Linked DNA regions of Diceros bicornis minor. The protein of the gene in region 2 interacts with the protein of the main gene of each other region in a biochemical or structural test. Links are inferred from orthologs where the notes say so. Each region holds a gene or a part of one and is shown on either strand. Other genes may lie near its edges. The genes, in order: CKB and ARIH2.

Region 1 (3,903 bases), on a different chromosome or scaffold from region 2:
ACCACTCAGAGACTCAGGGCAGGCCAAAACCCTAGTTTATTTCAGCATCAGCAACATCTTAGCCATCACAAAAATAAACTCTACCAAGGGTGACGGAAGTCTCTACAGCGAGGCTAAAGGCTCAGCTGCCAGGCAGTGAGCATCAGGGGTGCATGGCGGGCACTGCCCGGGCAATAAGTTAGGAAGCAGCAGGGCTGGTGGCGATGGCAGGTGCAGGCCAGGACTTCACTTTTGGGCGGGCACGAGGTCATCGATGGCCTGGCCCTGCTCCAGCCGCTGCTCCATCTCAATGAGCAGCTTCACGCCGTCCACCACCATCTGCACCAGCTCCACCTCCGAGAAGCCCAGGCGGTCTGCATTGGAGACGTCGAAGACCCCACCCACGGCAGCTGTGTCCACACCACCTGGGGAAACAGGAAGGTCAGCAGGGCTGGCAGGGGGCTGCCCCAAGGGAAGAGGACTGCCTGCTGCCCCTGCTCCACTCACCTGTGCCTCGCTTCTGAAGCCGCAGCCTCTTGAGCACTTCAGGGAACTTCTCATGCTTGCCCAGGTGGGGCAGCTTGATGTGGACACCTGCCCGCAGCCCTGTGCCCAGGTTGGACGGGCAGGTGAGGATGTAGCCCAGGTGAGGGTTCCACATGAACTCATAGTTCTTAGACTTGAAGAGCGTTTCAATCTGGAGGTGGAGAAGGCGTGAGAGGGGAGGCCTGGCTAAGACAAACCCCCAGGGGACCAGTGGAGAAGGTGAGACTGGGACCCAGGAGCCCTCTGGCAGGACCCGGAGGTGACTGAGACCTGGGATCCCCAGGGAGACAGATGGGGCACCGACATCCCTGCCTGAGCTCTGGGGTCCTGCCCTGCCCCCTCCCTGGCACCAAGCCCCTATGGTGCCAGCCTGGATTGGGGGTGACCAGGCCTGACCTGGGTGAGGCCGTTGCAGAAGCGGGTGAACACCTCCTTCATGTTGCCCCCCTTCTGCATGGAGATGACCCGCAGGTGGTCCTCCTCATTGATCCACACCAAGAAGGTCTTATTGTCATTGTGCCTGGAGGAGGAGCACAATCAAGCTTCCTCCCTGGACTGTGGTCTCAGGGCACATCCAGAAAAAATCTTTAGGGGGTCCCCAAACCTGAAGAACTTCCCAAGTGCCTAAGGCTCTGATTCCAGCTGTACCCAGGAGCATGGGCTGCTGCTAGGACCCCAGCCCAGTCCACATTCTAGGGGCAGGCAGAGAGGCCAGGACACCTCAGGGTATAAAAAGAGCCGTGAGCTGCTTCTCAGCCTGCCAGTCAGGTGCTGTGTGGCCCAAGTGCGGTGGACGGGGCAAGGTCCCCACCTAGGAGGTAAGCGGCAAGGGCAGCCAGGACAGCGCCCCCCGGAGGCGGGGAAGCGCTATATAGGTGCTGAAGCCCGCGCTACACAGTGCGGGCAGGAGGCTGTAAGCGCCCCCCCTCCACCCCCGCCGCCACTTGAGGAAGCATCTGCGTCACCCAGCACCCGGCAGAGTCCCGGCGGGGAAGCGGGGTGAGAAAGGGAGAAAACAAAAAGCTCCAGCTCCCAAGACGGGGTGGAGAAGAGAAGCCAATAGAACCCGTCACCCCCCTCTCTAAGATCCCGAGAGGCTGAGGCCTCCACCAGCCGGGATCCCTTTACGCACCTGCGTGGTCAGGTCAAGGTCACCTTCGAGGAGGCCTGGGCGGCACCAAAACCTGTACCGGGAGCGAGGCCCCTCCCTCTTCCTCCTCGGCCTCCGTGGGGGGAGGGTAGGGGAGAGGAGTGAGACGGTAAAGGGGGGGGCCCGCGGGAGGGGGCACGCACCAGATGCCGCGGGCGTCTGGCCAGTCGCGGGCCATGCCCGAGGCCAGGAGCAGGGGCGACACGGGCTTGTCAAAGAGGAAGTGGTCGTCGATAAGCTGCTGCTGCTCCGCCTCGGTCATGCTCTTGAGCGCGTAGTACCTGCCCGTCAGGTCGCCGTCCAGACTTGACAGGGCTGCGGAGGGGCGCGCTCAGGTGGACAGGCGGCCAAGCCCCTACCCCACACCCCCACCACCCCAGCGGTACGGACCCGCCCCACCTCCCCATGCCAACCCGGCTCTGTGGGACCCCAGTCCACGCGGTCCGGGCGGCGGCCAGAGGCGGTGACCCTGGCCCTCGCTGGGTCCCGGGCCGCCGTGGGCGCGGGGCCGGTCCCTCTGGCCCTCCGGGAAACCGAACCCGGCGCGCAGATAAGAGCGCGGCGGTGGCGGCGGCGGCTCGGGTGACTGGTAAACAAGCCGGGCGGGGACTGGAACGGGGTCCGGGACGGGGACGAGGAGGGGCGCCTGGCCTGCCGACCCCTACCTTCCACGGCGAGCTTCTCGATGGCTCGGCGCTCCCCGCGGCTGCAGTGCGGGGGGAGGCAGAAGCCGCGGATGCTGCGGCCCGTGCGCACCCGCGAGCTCAGCACGTAGTTGGGGTCCAGGTCGTCGCCGCCCTGGGGGCCGAGCGGCGGTGAGCGCCGGGAGACCCCTCCCCAGCCCGCCCCGCTGCCCTGGGCCGCCCCGCACCTGCAGGTTGTCGGGATTGAGGTCGGTCTTGTGCTCGTCGCTGGGCTTGTAGCCGCCGTGCCGGTCCTCGATGATGGGGTCAAAGAGCTCCTTGAACACGTCGTACGACTCCTCGTCGCCCGCCACGCAGCCCACAGTCATGATATAGGGGTGGCCTGGGGGGGCGCGGAATGGAGACAGTGACGTCACTGCCAGGCCTGAGTGAGCAGCTAAGGACCCTGCGGCTGCTCACGGGAACGGGGGTCACTGGACTTTCGCCCCCGGGGTGCCTTGCGGATAAGGCACGGGCACCCTGACCCTGGGTCTGGGGTGCGCGTACCTGGGTTGTCCACGCCGGTCTGGATGACGTCGTCCAGGGTGAAGCCGCTCGGCGTGCTCTTGGCGCGCAGCTCAGCGTACAACTCGGGGGTCAGCACCTTGGCCATGTGGTTATTGTGGCCGCTGAGGTCGGGGAACTCGTCCTCGGCCGGGAAGCGCAGCTTTAGCGTGTTGTGGCTGTTGGAGAAGGGCATGGCGGCGGCGGGCGGCGGGCTGCGGGAGACGCGGGGGTCAGCGGGGACCCGGCGCATCGAGCCTCCCGGAGACCTGCAAACCACCCAGGGCCCGGCAGCCGCAGCCTCCGGCCACCCTGGGATGCGGCCAAGGTCAGCGGGGTCCGCAGCGCGCGCAGGGGGGCCCGCACTGCCCAGGACCCCCGACATAGCCGGCGCGCGCGGGAAGGCGGCGAGCCCCGGCGCTCCTGGAGCGCGTGACGCCGGGGACCCCGCGTCCCCTTCATGCACAGCGCCCCCGGCCCCGCGCCGAGCGCGGCCCTAGGGCCCACTCACCGGGCGGCCGGGCGGAGGCAGGGGCGCTCTCTCCGTCGGCGGCTCAGGGCGCGGCGCAGGCGAACAGCGGCCGCTCCGCGCTCCCGCGGCTCTTAAGGGGCGCGACGCGGGCCGCCCATTGGCCGCTATTTATAGCCCATTCATTCCATTGGCCTGCACTGCGGGGTGGTGCCGCCGCTTTGTCCGCCGTCCGCAGCCCCCGACAACCCCCTAGGCAGCCCACCCTAGCTGTCTCCTCGCCGGGACGCCGCGCAGACAGCCTACCCCGCCCGCCGCCCGCCCAGGACCCCGAAATCAGAACCTCAGGCCCTTGGACATCCTGGAGTTACCCCCCCTACCCCCACTGCCTCTGGGCGGGAAACTGAGGCAGGAGAGCCACCCGGCACTTGAGGACGCCCAGGCTCGTCTGCACCCGGCTCCGGCCTTTCCTCGTCCCGCCAGTCCCCGCGGCGGCCGCGGCGAGGGGCCGGGCGACAGCGTCCTGGGCTTGCACAGCAGGTACTGCCTCTCCATGCCCCACCTCCCCGCCC
Region 2 (3,903 bases):
TCTGTGGGAAACAAAGATGATAATGTAGGAAGTCAGGAGGACACCTCAGGCCTCCTTGAGAGCTGACAACCCACTTTGTACCTGAGCTCTCTCCTAACAGCCCTTTCTTGTTCCAATGTCTGAGATTCTTCTCCTCAGCTGTACTAAAGCCCTTTGAACCCACTTTCTAACTCACTCAACAATCATCTTTTTAAGCACCTACTGTGTGTTAGGCGTTACGCAACCTTACTTTACATTTTGTGAGCTGTCTCCTCACCTAGCTTGAACACTCTTCCTTCTATCTTGGAGGTTTTTTTTTTTTTTAATAATTTTATTTATTTATTTATTTCCCCCCCCAAAGCCCCAGTAGATAGTTGTATGTCATAGCTGCACATCCTTCTAGTTGCTGTATGTGGGATGCGGCCTCAGCATGGCTGGAGAGGTGCGTCGGTGCACGCCCGGGATCTGAACCTGGGCCGCCAGCAGCGGAGCGTGCGCACTTAACCGCTAAGCCACGGGGCCGGCCCTATCTTGGAGGTTCTTAACAATGGATGCTTCTCAAACTCAGCCACAGAGCTTTAAACACTCTTGTGCCAGAACTCAATTTCAGAGATTCAGAATCAGAGCCCTGGAAATTTCAGGGCATTTAGAAGAAGCTTGTCAGATGATGCCACACACACCAGATACCACTCCCAGCACCTCAAGGACCTTGTCTTATCAGCTGCACTTTCTCCTTTCTAGATATTTCTTTCAGCCTCAGTCTCATCTTAAACACTGAAATCTAAACCCTTTAACCCATTGCTCCTTTCTTTTCCCTGCCAAGCTCCTTGAACCAGTAATTGACTCTCAGTGCCTCTGCCTTCTTGCTGCCTGTTCAGTATTCAATCCACCACTGTCAACACTATGGGAAAACTTCTTCTAAATGTCACCAATGACTAATAGTTAAACCTAATGAGGGGGCCAGCCTGGTGGCATATAGTTAAGCTTGTGTGCTCCACTTCGGCGGCTTGGGGTTCGCTGGTTCAGATCCTGGACGTGAACCTACACACCACTCATTAAGCCATGCTGTGGCAGCATCCCACATACAAAAAATAGAGGAAGACTGGCACAGATGTTAGCTCAGGGTGAATCTTCCTTGTACAAAAACAAAACAAAACAACCAAAAAAAACCTAAGGAGCATTTAAAATTCCCTAGCTTACCCAGCATTTGACTGTTTCATCCCTTGGACTCAAAGGCACTATTCTCTGTTTTCTTCTAAAACTCTAACAGCAACTTCTGCTTTGGGAGCTCTTCCTTCCATGCCAGCCCCTCTTCCCATAGTACAGTCTTCCAGGGGTCATATATACATCTTTATGCTGAAAACTTCCTGGCTTCTGTCCCTGGCTTTCACCTCTCTCCAGGTTCCCAAGTTGTATACCCGACACTGACCAGGTATGTCCCCCGATGTGCCATGGGCACTGCAATTGCAGTGTGTCTGAAACCCAGAGCTGCTGCAGGTTTTCTGGTAATGCCTCTGGGTTCTATCCCCTTTTCCATCCTTCTATGATCCCTGCTTCAGTTCATGCCTTCACCGCCTCTTGCCTGGACCACTGTAATTCTCTCTTAACTGGTCTCCCTGCTTCCAGTCTATCTCGACACAAAATCATTCATGCAAAATAGATTTCCTAAAACAAATCTGATCATGTCACCACTGTGCTTAAAATTCTTCCATGGTTCCCCATCACCTCCTAGAAAAAGCCTATAGCACAGAGTAGATAGGCTTTTGGGTCTTGTCCCAGCCTCCTTGCCCTCCACTCCCCTACAGGTTTTCTGGACCAGCCAGACCCAGTCACTTCCTGATCCCAGTCCTGATCCTGTTACTCATCTTTCCACCCCCAGCACACATGGTCCATATTCCCCTTTCCTAGCTTCCCTCTAGCCTGGGAGTGCCCACAGAGAAAGACTGTTATCAGGTCAGCTTGGCAGTGAGGTACCTGCTACAGCTTTTTAACCTGAAAAATTTCAAACATACAGAAATGATGAAAGAATAATATAGTGAATACTTGGATACTGTCCACCTAGAGTCAATAAGGTAAAAATATTAGCATCATCCTTAACTCCTCTCTCACATACCTTAAATTCTATTCATTAACAATTCCTTTAGATTCTTTCTTCAGAATATATCTAGAATCTGAACACTTCTCACCACCTCCTTTGCTATGCCCTGATTCCTGCCAGCATCTCTGACCATGACCTTTAGCCTTGTCAAGGCTCCCTGCTTCTTCCTTGCTCCCTACAGTCTATTCCTACCCAGCAGTCAGAGGGATCTTGGCAATTCATAAGTCAGACTATGTCACTCCCCTGCTCTAAATCCCAAAATGGCTCCTGTCTCCTTCAGAGGAGAAGCTGATGTCCCCACAATGGCACACAAAACCCAGTTTGATATGCCACCATTACCTCCATGTCTTCACCAGCTACTCCTCCTCCTCTCCTTCACTCTGTTCACAAAGGCCTCCCTGTGGTTCCTCAAACAGGCAGGGCACAGCACATCTCCGGGCTTTTGCGTTTTCTTTTCCTCTGCCTGGAAGGTCCCTCACCCTCCACCCCATATGGACAGGATATGGGGTGGAGGGTGAGGGACCTTCTATGGCAGTCTATAGACAGAACTCTCTCACCGTCTCAGGTCTTGAATCCCTTACTCACCTAATTAAAATTGCAAATTACTCGACCCCTCATACTCTCTAACCCTATTTCCGGGTTTATTTTTCTCCATAGCAGTTATCACCACTTGATACACTACACATTTTTCACTTATCTTTGTTATGGTCTTTGTCATTGTTAAGCTCCACAAGGACAAGGCCCCGTGTGCTGTGCTACTAGCTCTAGAAGGGCGCCTGGCACACAGCAGAGCGCAATCGACTTCTGCGGAGTGAGTGGAGCAATGGGAGCCCAGAGGAGGAAACACTCAAATCCAGGACGACTTCCTGGAAGAGCGAGGCCACCTGCCGGCCCTTCCAAACAACTCGCAGACAGTGTCACGGCCGGCCCCTCTCCCTCAAGCCACGCCCATGAGGGCGGGTCCTCCGCCGGAAGCAGCTGCCCATGGCGGAAGCCGGGCCAGGCAGTCTAGGCCCTCCTCCCGACCTGCCCTGGGCTCATGTCCCGCCCACATGAAAGTGGGTGAAAGGTCGGCGGCGCCGGCGCTGCGTCTGGGGCGGTAGAGCGGGGCGGCCTGGGAACCGACAGGCACGTTGACGGACGGACGAGCCATGGTAGACCCGGCGAAGCCCATCAGCCCGCTCAAGAACCTACTGGCCGGCGGCTTTGGCGGCATGTGCCTGGTGTTCGTAGGACACCCGCTGGACACAGTCAAGGTGCGAGGGGGCTGGGGCGTGGGCTGGAGGGAGGAGGCCCGGGCGAGGCGCGGAAAGCAGGGTCTGCGTCGAGACGTGGGCTCGGACAGAAGGGGGCCGGTCGGAGCTTCCCAGAAAAATCTAGCGAATCTCCCTTTCGCCCCTTTCGGGGGTCGGAGGAAGCTGTTCCTCGCGTCCCAAAGAGCCGGACCGCGCAAAGTGAGCGGCTTCTAACCGCTCAAAAGTTCTCTGTCCGGCAGCCTCTCCTGGCCTTGCACCACTTCTTTGGGGGTGGGAAAGAAAAAGTGCCTCCCCAAAGCTCTGATTTCAGCAAACCTTAACAGTATCAGCAAGATTGAAACAGGTCACCTGTAAAGCCCGCCTCAGGAAGAAAGCTCAAGACAGAGGCTGGATTATTCTAGAGATGTCTTTTGACACATTCCTCTGTTGCCAGAGTGCCTTGTCACCATCTCTTCGCTCCTTTCCCGCCCCAGAGGGGAGCTTGGCCATCTTTAGCCTGTCACCTCACATTACCCTGAGTGGCCTCCTGTGGGAAGCAATGATGTCCTCAGAGACTGAGCCCCTTCCAAG

Evidence for each region.
Region 1: of the proteins of ARIH2 (region 2) and CKB, one has a biochemical effect on the other in vitro, tested with the Homo sapiens proteins (2 studies listed by BioGRID). The link is inferred for Diceros bicornis minor from reciprocal best matches to the Homo sapiens genes ARIH2 and CKB.

Annotation. Positions count from the first base shown.
Region 1 is NC_080763.1:48,175,274-48,179,176, forward strand, and holds CKB (creatine kinase B-type), read right to left. Parts: upstream 3,092-3,903; 5' UTR 3,059-3,091; coding exon 2,866-3,058; intron 2,702-2,865; coding exon 2,547-2,701; intron 2,474-2,546; coding exon 2,341-2,473; intron 1,991-2,340; coding exon 1,819-1,990; intron 1,046-1,818; coding exon 922-1,045; intron 677-921; coding exon 487-676; intron 405-486; coding exon 226-404; 3' UTR 19-225; downstream 1-18. UniProt on the Homo sapiens protein: Reversibly catalyzes the transfer of phosphate between ATP and various phosphogens (e.g. creatine phosphate).
Region 2 is NC_080741.1:50,194,454-50,198,356, reverse strand, and holds the start of ARIH2 (E3 ubiquitin-protein ligase ARIH2), read right to left. Parts: upstream 2,506-3,903; 5' UTR 2,417-2,505; intron 1-2,416. Other genes in the region: SLC25A20 (mitochondrial carnitine/acylcarnitine carrier protein), read left to right, coding at 3,229-3,333.